2 linked regions of the Saccharomyces cerevisiae S288C genome follow. Changing the gene in region 1 together with any one later gene gives a genetic interaction. Each region holds a gene or a part of one and is shown in the gene's direction. Other genes may lie near its edges.

Region 1 (8,135 bases):
CGAAACTCTGCTGATCACTTCCCAGCAAGCTTTATCAGAATTTTCCCAGGCTGCTAATGAAAGGAGTCTTTTGAATTCCGTGACACAGTTGTACTTGTCAAAGTTGAAATTTGGCACCGATGCAGTTCACCTGAAATCCTTTTACAAACCATATTTAGATGTGCTACCCTTGCACCTTCCACAACCATATTTTTGGTCTACTGATGAAGTCATGAATTTGCATGGTACAGACGTGTACTTAACTATGAGAGATACGCTGAACAAACTAGTAAAGGAGTGGAGGATGCTGTTCCAAGCTTTATCTATTGAACACTCTTCTCAAGATAAGCAGTTCTTGTCTTTATTCCAGGAGAATAAAGACTCTGCCGTAGTGCCGTTGGAACAGTTCTGCGCACACATCAATGGATGTAAACTAGAAGATTCGGAATGGAACTCGTTCGTGGCGTATCTTTGGTCGTACTGCATCTTTAATTCTAGGGCATTTCCTCGTGTCATTTTAGGCAGGGCCGGTACAGACCGCACCAATCTGAACGAAGGATTTTTGTATCCAATAGTAGATTTATTAAACCATAAAAACGATGTACCAGTAAGATGGGAGATGAATGAACAAAATGAACTTTGTTTCATGTCGCAGACTACCACATTTAGTGCACAGGATGAATTGTTTAATAATTATGGTAATATTTCTAATGAAAAATGTTTGTTAAACTACGGGTTTTGGGATTCCTCGAATAAGTTTGACTTCTCTAGGTTGACTTTAAAGCTACCATCCACCTTAGTTAGCGGTTTGCCCGTGGATTTTAACAAATCAGGTAATTTTGTTACTGACGATGGAGAAACTACCATTTTACAATTTAGTTTAAAAATTTCTGAACCATTACCACCGGTTCTACTAGCGTTATTTGCCTACCTAAGTAAATTAAAGTCTGAAGAAACTCCAACCGTAAGGAGCGTATTGGAAGGTATTGATCAATTAACATCTGTAGTATCCCAGAGATTGCTGTTTTATAAGAATTTTAAAATTAAAACTTCTTCGACTCAAAAATTACGCCCTCATGTTATTAAACTAATCAAACTATACTATCAAGATAACAAAAAAATTCTGAACGCCACTACTGAGAAATTGTCCGTTTTACAAAAAAAAATATATAGCAATAATAAGGAGTTTTCTCTGTCATTCAAGACAATTTTTAAAAACGACAAAATATTTGCCAATTCTCTCTTACTGGTATTTGGTGCTATAAATTACGAAGATTTGATCACAAAAGACTGTCTTAATGACGCATTGTTGCTCTGGATAGTCAAATTAATCAACGATAAAAGTAATAATCAGGGAGGTTTCATTAAACAAACCTTCAAAGAAGTTAGTGATTCAATTGTCATTGAAAAAGAAGATGTTATGGAGTTTTTGCCGTTCTATAAAAAATACTTCCCTAATTTATCGGAGAGAATTCCAGAAATTTATAGTGTCGGTGATTGGGGCATAAGACAGTTCATTGTGGCAGATACTGCGATTGATAGATTGGTTTGGATCAGGAAATCAAATAAAGAGCCTATATTTCTAATGAAGAAGGCATACGACTTACAGATTTAGCTTTGATCTGTAGCCTAAGTATAAAATTCTACGTATGTATATATTTACATGCAATTTTTTCTTTTTCCAATTCATGTTAATGTTCTTCATCATTTGATAATAGGCCAATGATATTATCTACTATCTTCTCCTTTTGAGGAGAAGCTGCTTTCACTTCCTCGTTGCTTTTCTCTTCGTATAAATACATGAATTTCGACTTGTCCAGCATTTTTTTATCAATACAATGCATGTGCCCATGAAGTTCTACCTCCGACAAATCTTTAACAAAATATGTCGTTATTTGTGTCATGAATTTCAGTAGGGTTTGAAATATTTCGGGTATGGCGTTCTTCTTATCCAGAATAACAATTTTGTAGTTTGCTGATAATGTTATTGGACGAAGCTGGATGGGCCTATTTACGCGGAACTTTTCGCCATATATTTCCTGTTCGAAGTATAAAAGTTGGTTGGCCAATTTCTTTAATCCGTTTGCAGATTGTAGCGATTGTTCATTCGCAAAACCAGGTTCTATTGTTGCATTTATTGACTCAGTGAAACCCACCAACTCCATTAAAGTTGGTCTTAAATCATCTTGCATAAACTTGTACAAGTTTGGCTGGAAAATTCTAATCATTTTCGATTTTGTCAGCACGGTTTGCAAAATTAATGTGATGTGTTCAAATCTTGATAAAGTCGTTTCATCATTTTGGAAAATAGAGAATTGGTTCCATTTCATTTCTGAAATTACCAGTGCGGAATATGTTTGTAGGTCATGAAGAAAAGAGTCGTATTTTGTCTTGTAGTTGATCAGAGAAGCTTGGTCCGTGGGTATTTTCATGGACTCGGTCTCTTGATATTGCTTCCATATATATGAGTCCCAAACATTCCAACTAAATTGAAAGGAAGGCGCATTATCGTTACCAGAGAAGGAACGGATGCTTTTCTTGTTACGTTGTAAAATGGTGAATATATTGTAGAGAATGAAATTTTTGCAAAATTCAGCCCTCAATTGCCGGATGGAGAAGTCGTTTGATAATATTGTAGCTCTTAAAATGTCTCCAGGGCACGTTCTGTCTTTGTTTGATTGTTTGCTCCACAATGTCTTATGGCTAACCGATCTTTCTAAAAGTTGCTTCAAAGTGACGACATTACCACCAGCGATTCGAGTTGTGGCACTGTTTGCATCCAGATAGAATGGTTTACCCTCTTCGTTCGCCAGTATCCGACCAGCGTTAGCCTTCTCAATGCGCTTTCGTTCATTCAAGGTGCAAAGTGGCGAAGCTATCTTGGTCTTCAATTTGTCTACCTCAGTAACGAAAAATTCTCTATGTTTATCTACAAAGTAAGGGAAAATACCAATTCCATCGAATTCCCCAATCATCGCCTCATCGGAAACCTGGAAAAGAGGCAAGGGCTTTGCATTAGCTGGGTTTACAAACATGGGTACCTCACCATTATTTTGTTCCAAGAGTCTATCGTAAGTGCTCTTCTTAACCCCGATTCCCCGACAAAAGTTTGAAAATATCGACTTAGGCCAAATTACACGCTGCAGTTTCAACTTATCATCTTTGCATCGTACCCTTATTAATTGTTGCCACTCGAAAGATGGCTTGAAGTCCTCATCCATTTCGCTGAACAACTTCTCGTAGAGACTTAAGGGGTGGTCAAACATAGGCGCAATCCGTTCCCAGTGTTGGATCCTCTTCTTCGAGGATTTTTGAGTTAGATCTGTTCTAACAATCTTGAATGCGTGTTCGCGAGGGGCGTTTATATCACGTAATAGCAGTTTTTGCAAGTCCGTGAGTGAAATATTATACAGTACTCCTTCAAGATCACAATATTCATAAGATAAGTTTGTCTTCTTAAACGCTTGCTTACAGCGAGGGAACACCTGATGTGTGATATTCTCCATGTTGAACTTATACCTGTAACGAGAGGAACTGCCCTGTCTCCTCAATGAGACCATGAACAATGTTTGCCAATTCACCATTTTGGTCACTCTGTCTCAAACCTTTCCTTCAGCGCAGCCTTACTCCTTCAAGAGAAGCCTTCATTGTCCATTCACTTAAGCATAATTTGTCATCTTCAATGCAATTGAACTTTCACTAAATACACCCATACACACCAATCTTGGATTCTACTCGGCGGCAATCTTCACTCTTTCCTTTGTTTTATCATTTTCTATTCCACCTTTAGTTCCCCAACTTCACCTCTTATCGAACTATCAACACATTTGACTATCATTTTGGCAAATTCACTCACGTGAGGGCGTGTGCTAACCATGCAAGGGTTATGGCATGCGCATCCATGTGGCGTTTCCTACTTTTATTTTTACATAATATATAAGATAATTGCACATGCAAACAGTCAATCTTTTTCCTGCAATTGATGTGGAGACCAAAAGGTTTGCATCTCCTAGTACCACGATTTTTTGGTGCAAAAGTGTTGATAATGTAATTCAGGTAGAAAAGGTAGAAGTTTCCTCTAGTATGTTCACAGATTGGATTAGAAAAAAAGATCACGCGACTCTTGCCGGAAAAAACTGTGGCGTCGCTGCATATATATGACAAATCAATCATATAGATTAGAGGCCTGCCTGAGTCAAGGGGCAAAAACAATACACATATAAAGACCTGGATGCTTATCGATGATCTGTACATTCTGTTTGTAGTCTAAGTTGCTGAGGGCAACGTAGACGTACAGTGCTCAAAATAAGTAAAAATGGAACCGCTGCTTTTTAATAGTGGGAAAGCAAATCCCTCTCAAGATGTTTTCATAGATGTGGAAGTTGGTGATATTACCACAAAATATGGTTCCACAAATACTGGATCATTCAGTTCGATGGATACTGTGGAAGCGCAGGCGATAAAGGCAGAGACGGCAAGATTCATGGAAGTTCCACAGGGAAGACATTTAGGTGTGTTCTCCACGGTTGTGTTATTTGTTTCGAGGATAATGGGGTCAGGTATATTTGCAGTACCCAGTGTGATTTTACTGAATACAGGTGGTAATAAGCTGATATATTTTGCGATCTGGGTTTTTAGCGCTGCGATCGCTTTTGCAGGATTGTATCTTTTTCTAGAATTTGGTTCCTGGATACCGAAATCAGGTGGACGTAAAAACTTCCTCGAACGGAGTTTTGAAAGACCCAGACTATTAATTAGTGTGGTGTTTTCGTGTTACAGTGTTTTAACTGGCTATGCATTGACGGGATCTATCGTCTTCGGTAAATACGTGTTGAGCGCATTTGGAGTCACGGATGATTCGTGGTCCAAGTACGTCAGCATATCATTTATAATATTTGCCGTTCTCATTCACGGTGTCTCTGTAAGGCACGGAGTGTTTATACAGAACGCACTTGGTGGTTTGAAGTTGATCATGATTGTCTTGATGTGCTTTGCCGGGCTATACACGCTTTTCTTTTATAAAAGCACCGGTCAAGTTGCCTGGGACCTCCCAGTAACCCAAGTTGAGAAAGATTCTCTCCTGTCGGTGTCCTCTATTGCTACTGCCTTTATCAGCTCATTCTTTTGTTTTTCTGGATGGGATACAGTTCACACAGTTACATCAGAAATTAAGAATCCCGTTAAGACGTTGAAGGTGTCAGGTCCCTTATCGTTGATAATTTGTTTTGTCTGCTACACAATGATGAATGTGGCATACTTGAAAGTTTTGACATATGAGGAAATTGTTAGTGCAGGCCCCCTGGTTGGTTCCGTGTTGTTTACCAAACTTTTCGGACCCAGAGTTGGTGGCAAATTCATTGCTTTTTCTATCGCCATTTCTGCAGCATCTAATATTCTGGTTGTCATTTACAGTATATCAAGAGTTAACCAGGAAATATTCAAAGAAGGTTATTTACCATTCAGTATTCATATGTCCAAAAATTGGCCATTTGATGCACCTCTACCATCTATTTCTTTATGTGGCTTTATAACCATTGCTTGGATATTGATTTTACCCAAAGAGGGCGAATCCTTCAATTATCTGGTATCGATGGATGGTTATGGTAATCAGTTTTTCTTATTATTGGTCGCTATTGGGCTCTTTATTTGGAGGTTCAAACACAAGAACGAAGTCCCAGAGATTCGTGCATCTACTTTTGGAGTATTAGCCATTATTACATTATCATTATACATGTTGATGGCACCATTCTTTGCCGACCCTAGCCTAAACAGAGTTGGGTTCCTGCCGCCCTACCAAATCATGTCATTACTGGTAATAGTTGCATGCTTCTTTTTCTGGTTAGTTAAATTCGTTTTACTACCTAAATTCTTCCATTATAAACTTTTACCCAAAATCACTTATTTGCATGATGGGCTCATTGTCACAGAATGGGTGAAAAAGCCATGTCTGTGTTAGTTTTTCCTTTTCTACATAAATATTTTATAGACTACTATTGCATTTTTAATAAATAATATTCATCCTCATCTTTGAATAAAAGAAAGAAACATTCGATTATTTCATCATCTTACTTGATTGCTTGGCTATTTGCTTCAAAAGCTCTAGGCCCCCACTGTCACGACACATACTATAAAATATACCGCGTTCATCTTTCAACAGTTCACTAGGGCGATCATATTCTTTTACCTCACCGGCATCCATCACAATTATCCTGTCGTAATCGATAACAGATCTCAAACGATGTGCAATAGTAAGAATTGTGCTTTTATTAAACTCACTTCTTATAATACCCTGAATTAAATGGTCAGAATCGTAATCAATAGAGGAAGTAGCCTCGTCCAAAAGTATTATCTTTGGCTCGCGTAACAATGATCGTGCAATAAAAAGCAATTGCCTTTCACCTTGGGACAGATTTAAGCCGCCCTCAGCTATTTCTGTGTGAAGATTTAAAAATTTATTATGAGTGCTGTTAAAGCGTTCCTCCGAGTTAAGCACTTCTTCAAATTCATGTGAAGAAATTAGATTTACTTGTGAAAGTGCTTTGAATATTTTTTTTTCATCATATTCATCATATGGATCAACATTACTTTTGATTGTACCTGCAAATAGAATAGGGTCCTGAGGGATGATAGTAATGGAACGACGTAATGTAACGAGATCAATTTTACTTATATCCTGCCCATCTATTTTGATACATCCGGTTATTGGTTCTAGTAATCTGAATAATGCCGTTATTATGGTAGATTTGCCTGCGCCAGTTCTTCCGACAATCCCAATCTTACTTTGAGGATCCACTTTGAAACTAACATTTCTTATGACAGGAGGCAAATTTGGCGCGTAACGTAAAGATAAGTTTTCAATTTCAATTTCTCCATCTTTTGGCCACGATGGTTCGTTTAGAAGTAGAATGCGGCCTTCATCATGGCCAAGATAGTTCTCTTGTTCAATGCTAGAATATTCTTTTAGTCTTTCAACAGAGTTCATGTTCATTTCAAATGTTGAGTACAGTCTAACTAACCATAAAGCACCATCTGTAAACAAAATGGCATATGTCAAAGAAATGCCGGCAAGACCCGAGTCAATATTTGCAATATTGAGCAGAATAAAAGAACCTGATGCTAAAACAATGAATGCGCCAATCATGTCGACTCTAAAAGAAAACCATTTGACAGTAACTGATAAATAAAAGAATGCTCTGTTATTTTGGTCAATTTTGTTCATATTTTCTAAAATGAATCTCCTCTCGTCGCCAAATGCACGAATTGTGCAAACGCCTACCAAGGTCTCTGAGAAATGTTGAAAAATGGGTGATTTGGTTATTGAATCTAACCTTTTCAATTCTCTACTTGCCGTTAAGTACCATTTCCCCACAAAGAAATATAAAACAAAAACGATAACGGCGACTGTCAAAAAGCGAGGAGTTATTACGGTAATGAGAAATATAATTGATGCGCATTGAATTAGGCAAAATATAGTTACTTCTAAGTATGGAATCAATTCTTGATCAACACCTTCGATGTCCTTTGAAAAGCGATTCATGATTCTACCAACCGGCGTCACGTCGAAAAATCGTATTTGGGCATGTAGAACTAGATCTAGCAGATTATTAAAGATCTTTCTGGAGGCTCGCATACCGGATAAAAACGTCATCATTGTTTTAAAACCACCTAGCATTGCCTGAATGATACCAATAAGAAAATATACGGTTAAGTAATAAAATGCATTATGTTTATTTTTCGAAGAGTCGGTCATCCCTTTTAATGGCAGCGTGTCCATCGCAAAACCTGGAGCATTTATTCGTACATTGGTATCGTTGACCCAATGTCGTATCCACCAAGACTGACTGATGAACAAAATTTGAGCTGTGATATAAAGAGCGAACAGGGCTGTTAAAGCTTTGAAGCCTCCAAAAAATTTCAGGTACCATTTATAAACATCGGGGCTTATGGCACCGTTTGATTTTTCTTCCTCTTCTATTAGCTGGCCATCATTGACAAAATTTGCATCAAAATTTATGTTCTCGGTGACAGGTTCGATTTTCTGAGAGTCATTTTTTCTGGGAGCTTTTAATCTATTAGCGTTCTTTTCATTAATGCTATCTCGAGAAGAAAGTTGAACATATTTTTCCTTAAAAAGCCCTTTGCTTTGTAATTCTGTA
Region 2 (8,238 bases), on another chromosome or scaffold:
ATAAACCCAAGAACCTCTTGACCGGTGACTTTTTCTCCGAGTTATATTCTAGACCAAGCACCTCTTTTCACCTAGCACATCTTATCCTGTTCCTGAAAAATACAGTTTATACGAGCTTGCGTGTTTTCCAAAGAAAAGAGCAAATGCAAGATTCAAGATTACTGTTCTTGTTTTATTTGCACTTATCCAATCAAAAGCTCGTTTAGGGATTGTAGAAGAGCTGACTATTGTAGTTAAATATTAGGGGAAATGAATATATTTTATCATGGGAAATACGTGGAACGTGTAATATGTTGTTGCTGCTCCCAAAATAAATTTACCTGACGAAAACCTTATATTTCCGGAAAAAAAAGCTTAAAGATAAAAGGTTAATTGTACTTTTAAACTCTTGCGGAATCTCTGTGCTCGGAGAAAAATATCCTGGAAAAGAAGATGCGGGGTAGGCGGACTTAAAAGATAAGTGCACATTTTTCCGGACTTCGAGTGGCGACAGACAGCCTGTTAACTATTTTTGAGAATAATTAATCTTTAGGGGGGTTTTAGTAAAACAAACAAAAGACTCAAAATAACGCCAAGAACATCCGAAGAAGTCCTGGTCGCGCTTTTTGCTGAGGTGGCTTTAAAAAACTAGTTTGCTGAGAGATGTAATAATGGCTTTAACAGATAATTCCTCGTTTGGCCACATTATCAAAAGGCAACCTCTTTCTGAAAACGGTATAGCCGGAAATGACTGCCGAGTTATATTATTGTTCGGTATACTCAAGTTATTGGTACGAAATATACGATAAGAATCTACCGAATTTTCATCCATTTAGTGAGAACGTTGGGTGAATTGAAAAAGGTGATAGATTTTTCTGCTTTGGCCTTGGATTAGCCAAAGTATCAATCCTTAAAATATTTGCTGGCAGTGTGATTTTTGCCCCTATCTGAGCAAATTTTGTTATCTTTTTCAACGTCAGGCTGAAATTGACAACTTGAGTAACGTAAATCAATATGGCACTTCTCCAATTTATATCGCATGAGAAAAATAGCATTGGTCAATCATACAGAACGTAACATCAAAAAACAACCGTTTACATATATATAATCACTTGTCTAAAATTGATTGAAATTGCATATGAGAAAATATATGATAATGACAATAATTTTCTTTGAGCACAATTAGTTTATTTGGCAACTTGCTCTTTATTATTAGTAAATATAGCACATATTCATATAAAACACATCTTCAGTGGGATTACCTAGTTGATGGTGCCAGGAATTTTCCTATCGTCAACGAGCTGAAAATTTTATTATTTTTATTAATAACATAATGTGAGACTCCTGGTTTGACATTTAATTTTACGTATTAGTCGAATTTTGTTCTTGCCTACAATAAAAAGACAATTAAGCCGCAGGCAGTCTCATTCTTTATTACAAAAACAAAACGATAGAATTTAGAGCACAAGTAAGAGATGGTAACAAAGTCACGGCTCCCGGATGTAGTATGTCGTCAAATAATAAGTTCGTGAAATTAATAATTAGGTTATAAATCGTAAAAAATTGAAAATATTAATTATGACGAAGTAGGCACAGATTTCTTGCTGCCAGTGTTGCTGTTGCTGTTAACACCAGATTCATCTGAGACAGTGCCATCATTCTGGTGGAACTCCGCATGTAAAAGTTTACCTACCCTATTCTCAATATAACCGTTGTCTGGGTAGTTGACTGGGGATTCGCATCCAGTAAAAATGAAAATGTCATATATGAGTGCTCCAGCAATACCGCCGGCAATTGGACCACCCCAGGCTCCCCATGTCCACCACCAATGTGTGAGATGAAAAGCATGTGGACCATAGCCAATCATGGAAGCAAATATGCGAGGACCGAGATCTCTTGCAGGATTGATTGTGAAACTTGTTTGATATCCAAGGGCCATACCAATTGCAGCGACTAAGAATCCAATAATTAATGCGGTCATACCATTGCCAGGTGGAGCATTACTATCATCCAATAGCGCCATCAAACAACCCACAAGTATAGAGGCTCCTATGAATTCGTCAAAGAAGGCATTTCTCCACGTGACGTAAGACTTTGGATCAGTAAACAAACACGCACCGGTCGCCGTTGTTCTTATGTGCGGACCTCCCTCAAATTCTGTGATAGAGCTCCAAAAATAACCATAAGCCATAGCTCCTCCAAAATATGCACCGATAATCTGAGCAACAATATATACGGGCACCTTTTTCCAGGGGAATTTTCGAAAAATTGCCATTGAAATCGTAACAGCAGGGTTAATATGACCACCACTAATACCGCCTGCGACGTAAACACCAAGCATACAACCGAACCCCCATGCAAATGATAGGGATTCATAGGAACCACCACTACCTTTTGTTACAGTTGCTTGAAGATTACCACCAACACCAAAAATGACAAGAACTAGTGTCCCGAGAAACTCCGCAAACGGTTCTCGCATATGATAGCGAATTTTTGCCCAAAAGTTAGGAAATGTCATTATATCCGCGTCTTCATCTTCTGAGGCACCAATTTCATTACCATCTAATGCACTCGTACTTTTATTTTCCTCTTCAATAAGTTCTTCAGGAAGCTTCGTATAAACCGGAGTAGAACCATCGAGGGTTTGCATGTTCTTTAATTTTCTGGATTCTGCATCGGCTATGGAGGATGCGTAGCTTTCATCGCCTAATGAAAAATTGACATTATGCGAAGTACGCTTTTTCTTACGTGAAACATTCTCAATATGCGTGTTAGAGGGCTTTTGTGGGTTTTCAGGCTCTAACTTAGTAGGTTTCACATCTGCACCAACAGTATTATCGCGTTGCGTTTGAGCTTCGATGTCACCAAGCTTTTTACCCGGTGCTGCACCTCTAAGGAGCCTTTTCCAGTCTTTCACTGACGTAGTAGAACCCCCCCTTGAAATATCGGTCGACCCTCGTCTCGATGATGCGCGGGACCTTGCATCCATATTCTTTTGTATCATCTTTGCTGCCAAGCCTCGATCCAATACATGCGGTAACGGCTGATTTAAACTCCAAACAGGCCTGTTCCTGCTACTACCCATAGTTGGATTTAATTGCCGATATAGTGGGTCTACATAATTATTACTGTTGCCTTGATTTACCCCCCTGGATAGATAATCTTGCATTATACGTGCTTGCTCAGCATCTGAAAAACTGTTTAAAGTCTTCAAATTAGGCAAAGAATAAGTAAAACCCATGGAAGGGACCTGTGGTTGTACCGAATCCTTCCTCTCGTCAACCACTTTTTTCAAGGGTGTCAAAGCAGAAAGTTTATTTCTCGATGATCCTCCAGTTTCAATTGCTTTTCGAGTCTCACCTAGCTTTCGCCTCAAGAGAGTGCTGTCATTTTCGTTATTTTCCCTAGATTTTTTGACACTTTCTTCCCAAGCTATTTTACCATTAGGTTCTTCTTTTAGCGTTGGTGGCCGTGTACTCTCGGAAGAGGAGGATGACCTCCCAGATTCGTAACTCATTACTTGGGTCTAGATCATATATCAGAGGAGCGTTATACTGTGCGATTATACGCTTCTTTTTATATGAATAAGGGGGAGACATGGTGAAAAGGTACCAGAACTTTTGATCGACCAAGACTAGGTAAAGCTCAAACAACGTTTATAACTCAAATTTCCGGGGTAAGTGGGGTACCGGAAAATTATGATATTCCGGAGCGGAGTTATCAACGGAGAAAACTAGGCCTTCTGATGGAACTTAATTTAAAAAATTAATCACAACCTATGCATATTATTCCCGCAGAGGGTGATTGTGAGTAAATCCCTGCACAGAAACAATTCCCGCCAGGCCATAACTAGATTCTAAATTATTTAACTCATAATTTCATGAAATCGTATCGTAGTACCAAATAGGGAGATATTGAGCCAAGTAAATTCTTACGTCACCATAGTTGGATAATTAAGTACTTGATATTGTATAAGGATCTCAACAATACGAGAAGGGGAAAATACCGCAATGTGTGATTGAATTTTCAAACTTTGGATCATTAAATATATATAAATGAACCCAGATCAGCCCTTTTTTTTTCTAGTATTGTCTGTAAAGTGTATTTTACCTCAAAATCTGACAAAACCCAACTACAATTGACTAAATAATCATGTCTCACAAACAATTCAAATCAGATGGAAACATCGTTACTCCCTACCTACTTGGCCTTGCTCGAAGCAATCCCGGCCTTACAGTGATTAAGCACGACAGAGTGGTTTTCCGGACTGCGTCAGCTCCTAATTCAGGGAACCCTCCTAAAGTTTCATTGGTTTCTGGAGGTGGCAGTGGTCATGAGCCAACGCATGCCGGTTTTGTTGGTGAAGGTGCCTTAGATGCGATTGCAGCAGGTGCCATTTTTGCTTCTCCTTCAACTAAACAGATCTATTCTGCTATTAAAGCTGTTGAATCTCCTAAGGGTACCTTGATCATTGTAAAAAATTACACCGGTGATATTATACATTTTGGTCTCGCTGCTGAAAGAGCTAAAGCTGCTGGAATGAAAGTCGAACTGGTTGCTGTAGGAGATGATGTCTCTGTCGGTAAGAAGAAAGGTTCTTTAGTCGGGCGTCGAGGTCTCGGAGCCACCGTATTGGTGCATAAAATTGCTGGGGCAGCCGCTTCTCATGGACTGGAGTTGGCAGAAGTTGCCGAAGTTGCTCAGTCAGTAGTTGACAATAGTGTCACAATTGCGGCATCTCTTGATCACTGCACGGTTCCTGGCCACAAACCTGAAGCCATTTTGGGCGAGAATGAGTATGAAATCGGTATGGGTATTCATAACGAGTCTGGTACCTATAAGTCTTCTCCGCTGCCATCGATTTCTGAGCTCGTTTCCCAGATGCTTCCTCTTCTTCTCGATGAGGATGAAGACCGTTCTTATGTGAAGTTTGAGCCCAAAGAGGACGTAGTTCTTATGGTTAACAACATGGGTGGTATGTCTAATCTAGAATTGGGTTATGCTGCAGAGGTCATTTCTGAACAATTGATTGATAAGTATCAAATTGTGCCCAAGAGAACGATTACTGGAGCATTCATTACTGCATTGAATGGTCCTGGGTTTGGTATCACTCTTATGAACGCTTCAAAAGCTGGTGGCGATATCCTTAAGTATTTCGATTATCCTACCACAGCGAGTGGATGGAATCAAATGTACCATTCTGCCAAAGATTGGGAGGTACTTGCCAAAGGGCAGGTTCCCACCGCCCCCTCTTTAAAGACATTGAGGAATGAAAAAGGTTCGGGTGTGAAAGCTGATTATGACACTTTTGCTAAAATTTTGCTTGCTGGGATTGCAAAAATTAACGAGGTTGAACCAAAGGTTACTTGGTACGATACCATTGCAGGAGATGGTGATTGCGGAACTACTCTTGTGTCCGGTGGTGAAGCATTGGAAGAAGCTATTAAAAACCATACGTTGCGCCTCGAGGATGCTGCTCTTGGTATCGAAGATATTGCGTATATGGTTGAGGATTCTATGGGTGGTACGTCCGGTGGTCTGTACTCTATCTATCTTTCTGCTCTCGCACAAGGAGTTAGGGATTCTGGGGACAAGGAACTTACTGCGGAAACTTTCAAAAAGGCATCAAACGTTGCACTAGATGCTTTGTATAAGTATACGAGAGCCCGTCCTGGTTACAGGACTCTGATCGATGCTCTGCAACCTTTTGTCGAAGCGCTGAAAGCCGGGAAGGGTCCCAGAGCCGCCGCCCAAGCTGCTTATGATGGTGCCGAAAAGACAAGGAAGATGGATGCCCTTGTTGGGCGTGCTTCTTACGTGGCTAAGGAGGAGCTGAGAAAACTCGACAGCGAAGGTGGATTACCAGATCCAGGAGCAGTTGGTCTTGCTGCACTACTCGATGGATTTGTTACAGCTGCTGGGTACTAGAATTGCTCGTACACACTAGAAGCCAAACATAACAGCTTTAAAGGCTTTCATTTTTGAACTTTTTAAAAAATTGAATACTCCAACTGAAGGTGAACTAGTTGTGTCTCTGAATATATTTTTATAGATATACGAATTGATGAAGTACCGCAAATTAAGCTAAAAAGTAATGCTTCTTGCAGCTTTTAATTGTTCTTTCTGCAATCTACAATTACTTTTCTTGATTCCTTCTCCGTTCCCCTGTGTTGTCTGGAAGTATAATTTGTCCAGGAAGATTTTTTGAATAGCCATTGTTTTCTTTAAATTAAATCGGAGTGTTTAAATCCATTCCAATCTCTTTTTTCTCGCAAGTCAACAAACAGGTGTTAACTTTCTTTTCCCCGCTGTTTTCTTACCTATGAATAGTCTCAATTCCTTTTTAGAAGATCTGCACATTCTCTGATACTATGAACAAGTTCTAGGATAGCAATCTAAGTTTTATGATTCTCTTATTTCGGATTCGATTTCAATAAAGATCGTAGTATTAGAAGTATAGAATGTATTGTAATTTTTTTTCCTAATCTTATTAATTCATGGAAGGCATTGAACTCAACAGCATATTTTAAATGTTTGTATCTTGTTTTCTCTTTCAAAAAAAAAATGGTGTCATTCATTATTTTATGGTCAACCCTATACATCAATTTTTCTCTGAAAATATTGACAAATAAAGTAGTTGATTCTTGTTCTACCAATTAGTGATATTATGCATGACTGTTAACAACTTTTTGACTAATCTCTGAAATCATATGAAGATCTTGCTGCATTTCATGCATCTAAGAAATCAACCTATATCAACAGATTTCAATAATTACTCTAAACTTATGCTGTAACTTAGAAAGTAACCAGCCTGTGTTGACTGATTGAGTTGCGTATTAACTGCGCCTAGTCATTTCAACACTTATAATTTGCTTCAGCTTAAGTGTGGTTCATCTTTTTTTTTCTGGAAACTTTGCATGCCCTCAAAGCATGAGTAGTTAGTTATCTTTTTGACAATGATCTCTTTTGAAAATATCTACTGTAGATTTGCATGGACGCACGTCGCCCATACGCCAAACTTTGGCAATGATACTCGTTATTCGTAATATCAGTCCGTCAAGGTGCTGTGATTTCTCTATTTTATATTGCCTATTATTTTTTCAAATGATTTGAGCCGTTTTAAATTGAGTATGCAATGAGTCTTTTGAATCAACCGTAAGGCAGTTCCATAACCACTGCCACGAATACGTTTCACTACCTTGAAGAATCTCTAATGTAGGCCGTATTCTTCGCACTTAGTTCTGACGATGTAGACATCTCATTATATAAGAGCATAAGCGCCTGTTTCTAGAATCATTTCTTCGTGACCCAGCTTTTTGAGTTATTTCGCGGTATTTTGAAACATTTCTCGAGCTTGACGTGAACATCCTTATATTTCATGACAAACTCGATCATTGGAACATCCCTGCCTCGATTTTAGAGCTAGTATCAAATTTCAATCTCTTTGTGATGGAGCCCCGCTCCTATTTCAAAAGAGAAGTTTCTTGTATGCATATGTTATTGAAGTCTGATTATAGCAAGTGCAATGTCGTCTCAATTATTTTAACTATTTTTAGCCATACATGTTAGTTATCCTCAAAGAGAGCCTCCAGACTGGGAAGCAGTGTTTGTCATTTCAAATAAGTAGATTTCACAGTTTGTATGATTTTCGAAGCCAGGATTCATTGGGCTTTGAGTAAAGAGAAGCCGCGTATTACGAACAGCTTACGATATTGTAAAATATTCCCTTATTGTGGTGCCCCAATGGATACATGCCAGAGAAATGTCTGTGAAATTGAACAATTACAATGACGAGAGCAAGTAATCCGGCGGCCTTGTCTCTCTTTCACTAGTACCGTCTATATCTCTTGAGCGCCAATATGCGAAAGCTTTCACAAGGTTGATGTTCATGGTATTCGGCGTCGATAGCGAATTGCTTACTAAGAAACATTAGGGTGCAGTACAGCCTTGTTTTTCCAGTTCGACTAACCTTTTTCTTGGCAGTATGGAGACTGACTAGGTCTCCCAAACATTCATTGTAACTGCTGTTTAAAGATTTTGTTCTAACCTAAATTCAAGTGAGAAGCTGAACATGTGTCTCTACTTATGATATCACGACAGCAAATACTAATCTTGCCATAAATAGTCTAGCGTTTTGCAACTTACCTCTAGATATATTTTATTTCTTGAGGAACCGTTTTCGTCGGTAATAACAAAATACTACTGAAACGCCACAGCATTGAGAGAATACGTTATCGATTACGGCTTTCTTCTCGCTCC

The links.
Region 2: mutations in MUP3 (region 1) and DAK2 together harm fitness more than expected from each alone (negative genetic interaction), as found in Saccharomyces cerevisiae (one large-scale study listed by BioGRID).

The regions. Positions count from the first base shown.
Region 1 is NC_001140.6:21,947-30,081, forward strand, and holds MUP3 (Mup3p), read left to right. Parts: upstream 1-4,294; coding exon 4,295-5,935; downstream 5,936-8,135. Other genes in the region: EFM1 (protein-lysine N-methyltransferase), read left to right, coding at 1-1,594; CBP2 (Cbp2p), read right to left, coding at 1,671-3,563; YHL037C (uncharacterized protein), read right to left, coding at 3,832-4,233; putative ATP-binding cassette multidrug transporter VMR1, read right to left, coding at 6,032-8,135. UniProt on the Saccharomyces cerevisiae protein: Very low affinity permease for methionine.
Region 2 is NC_001138.5:19,292-27,529, forward strand, and holds DAK2 (dihydroxyacetone kinase), read left to right. Parts: upstream 1-4,131; coding exon 4,132-5,907; downstream 5,908-8,238. Other genes in the region: AQY3 (Aqy3p), read right to left, coding at 1,556-3,496. UniProt on the Saccharomyces cerevisiae protein: Catalyzes both the phosphorylation of dihydroxyacetone and of glyceraldehyde.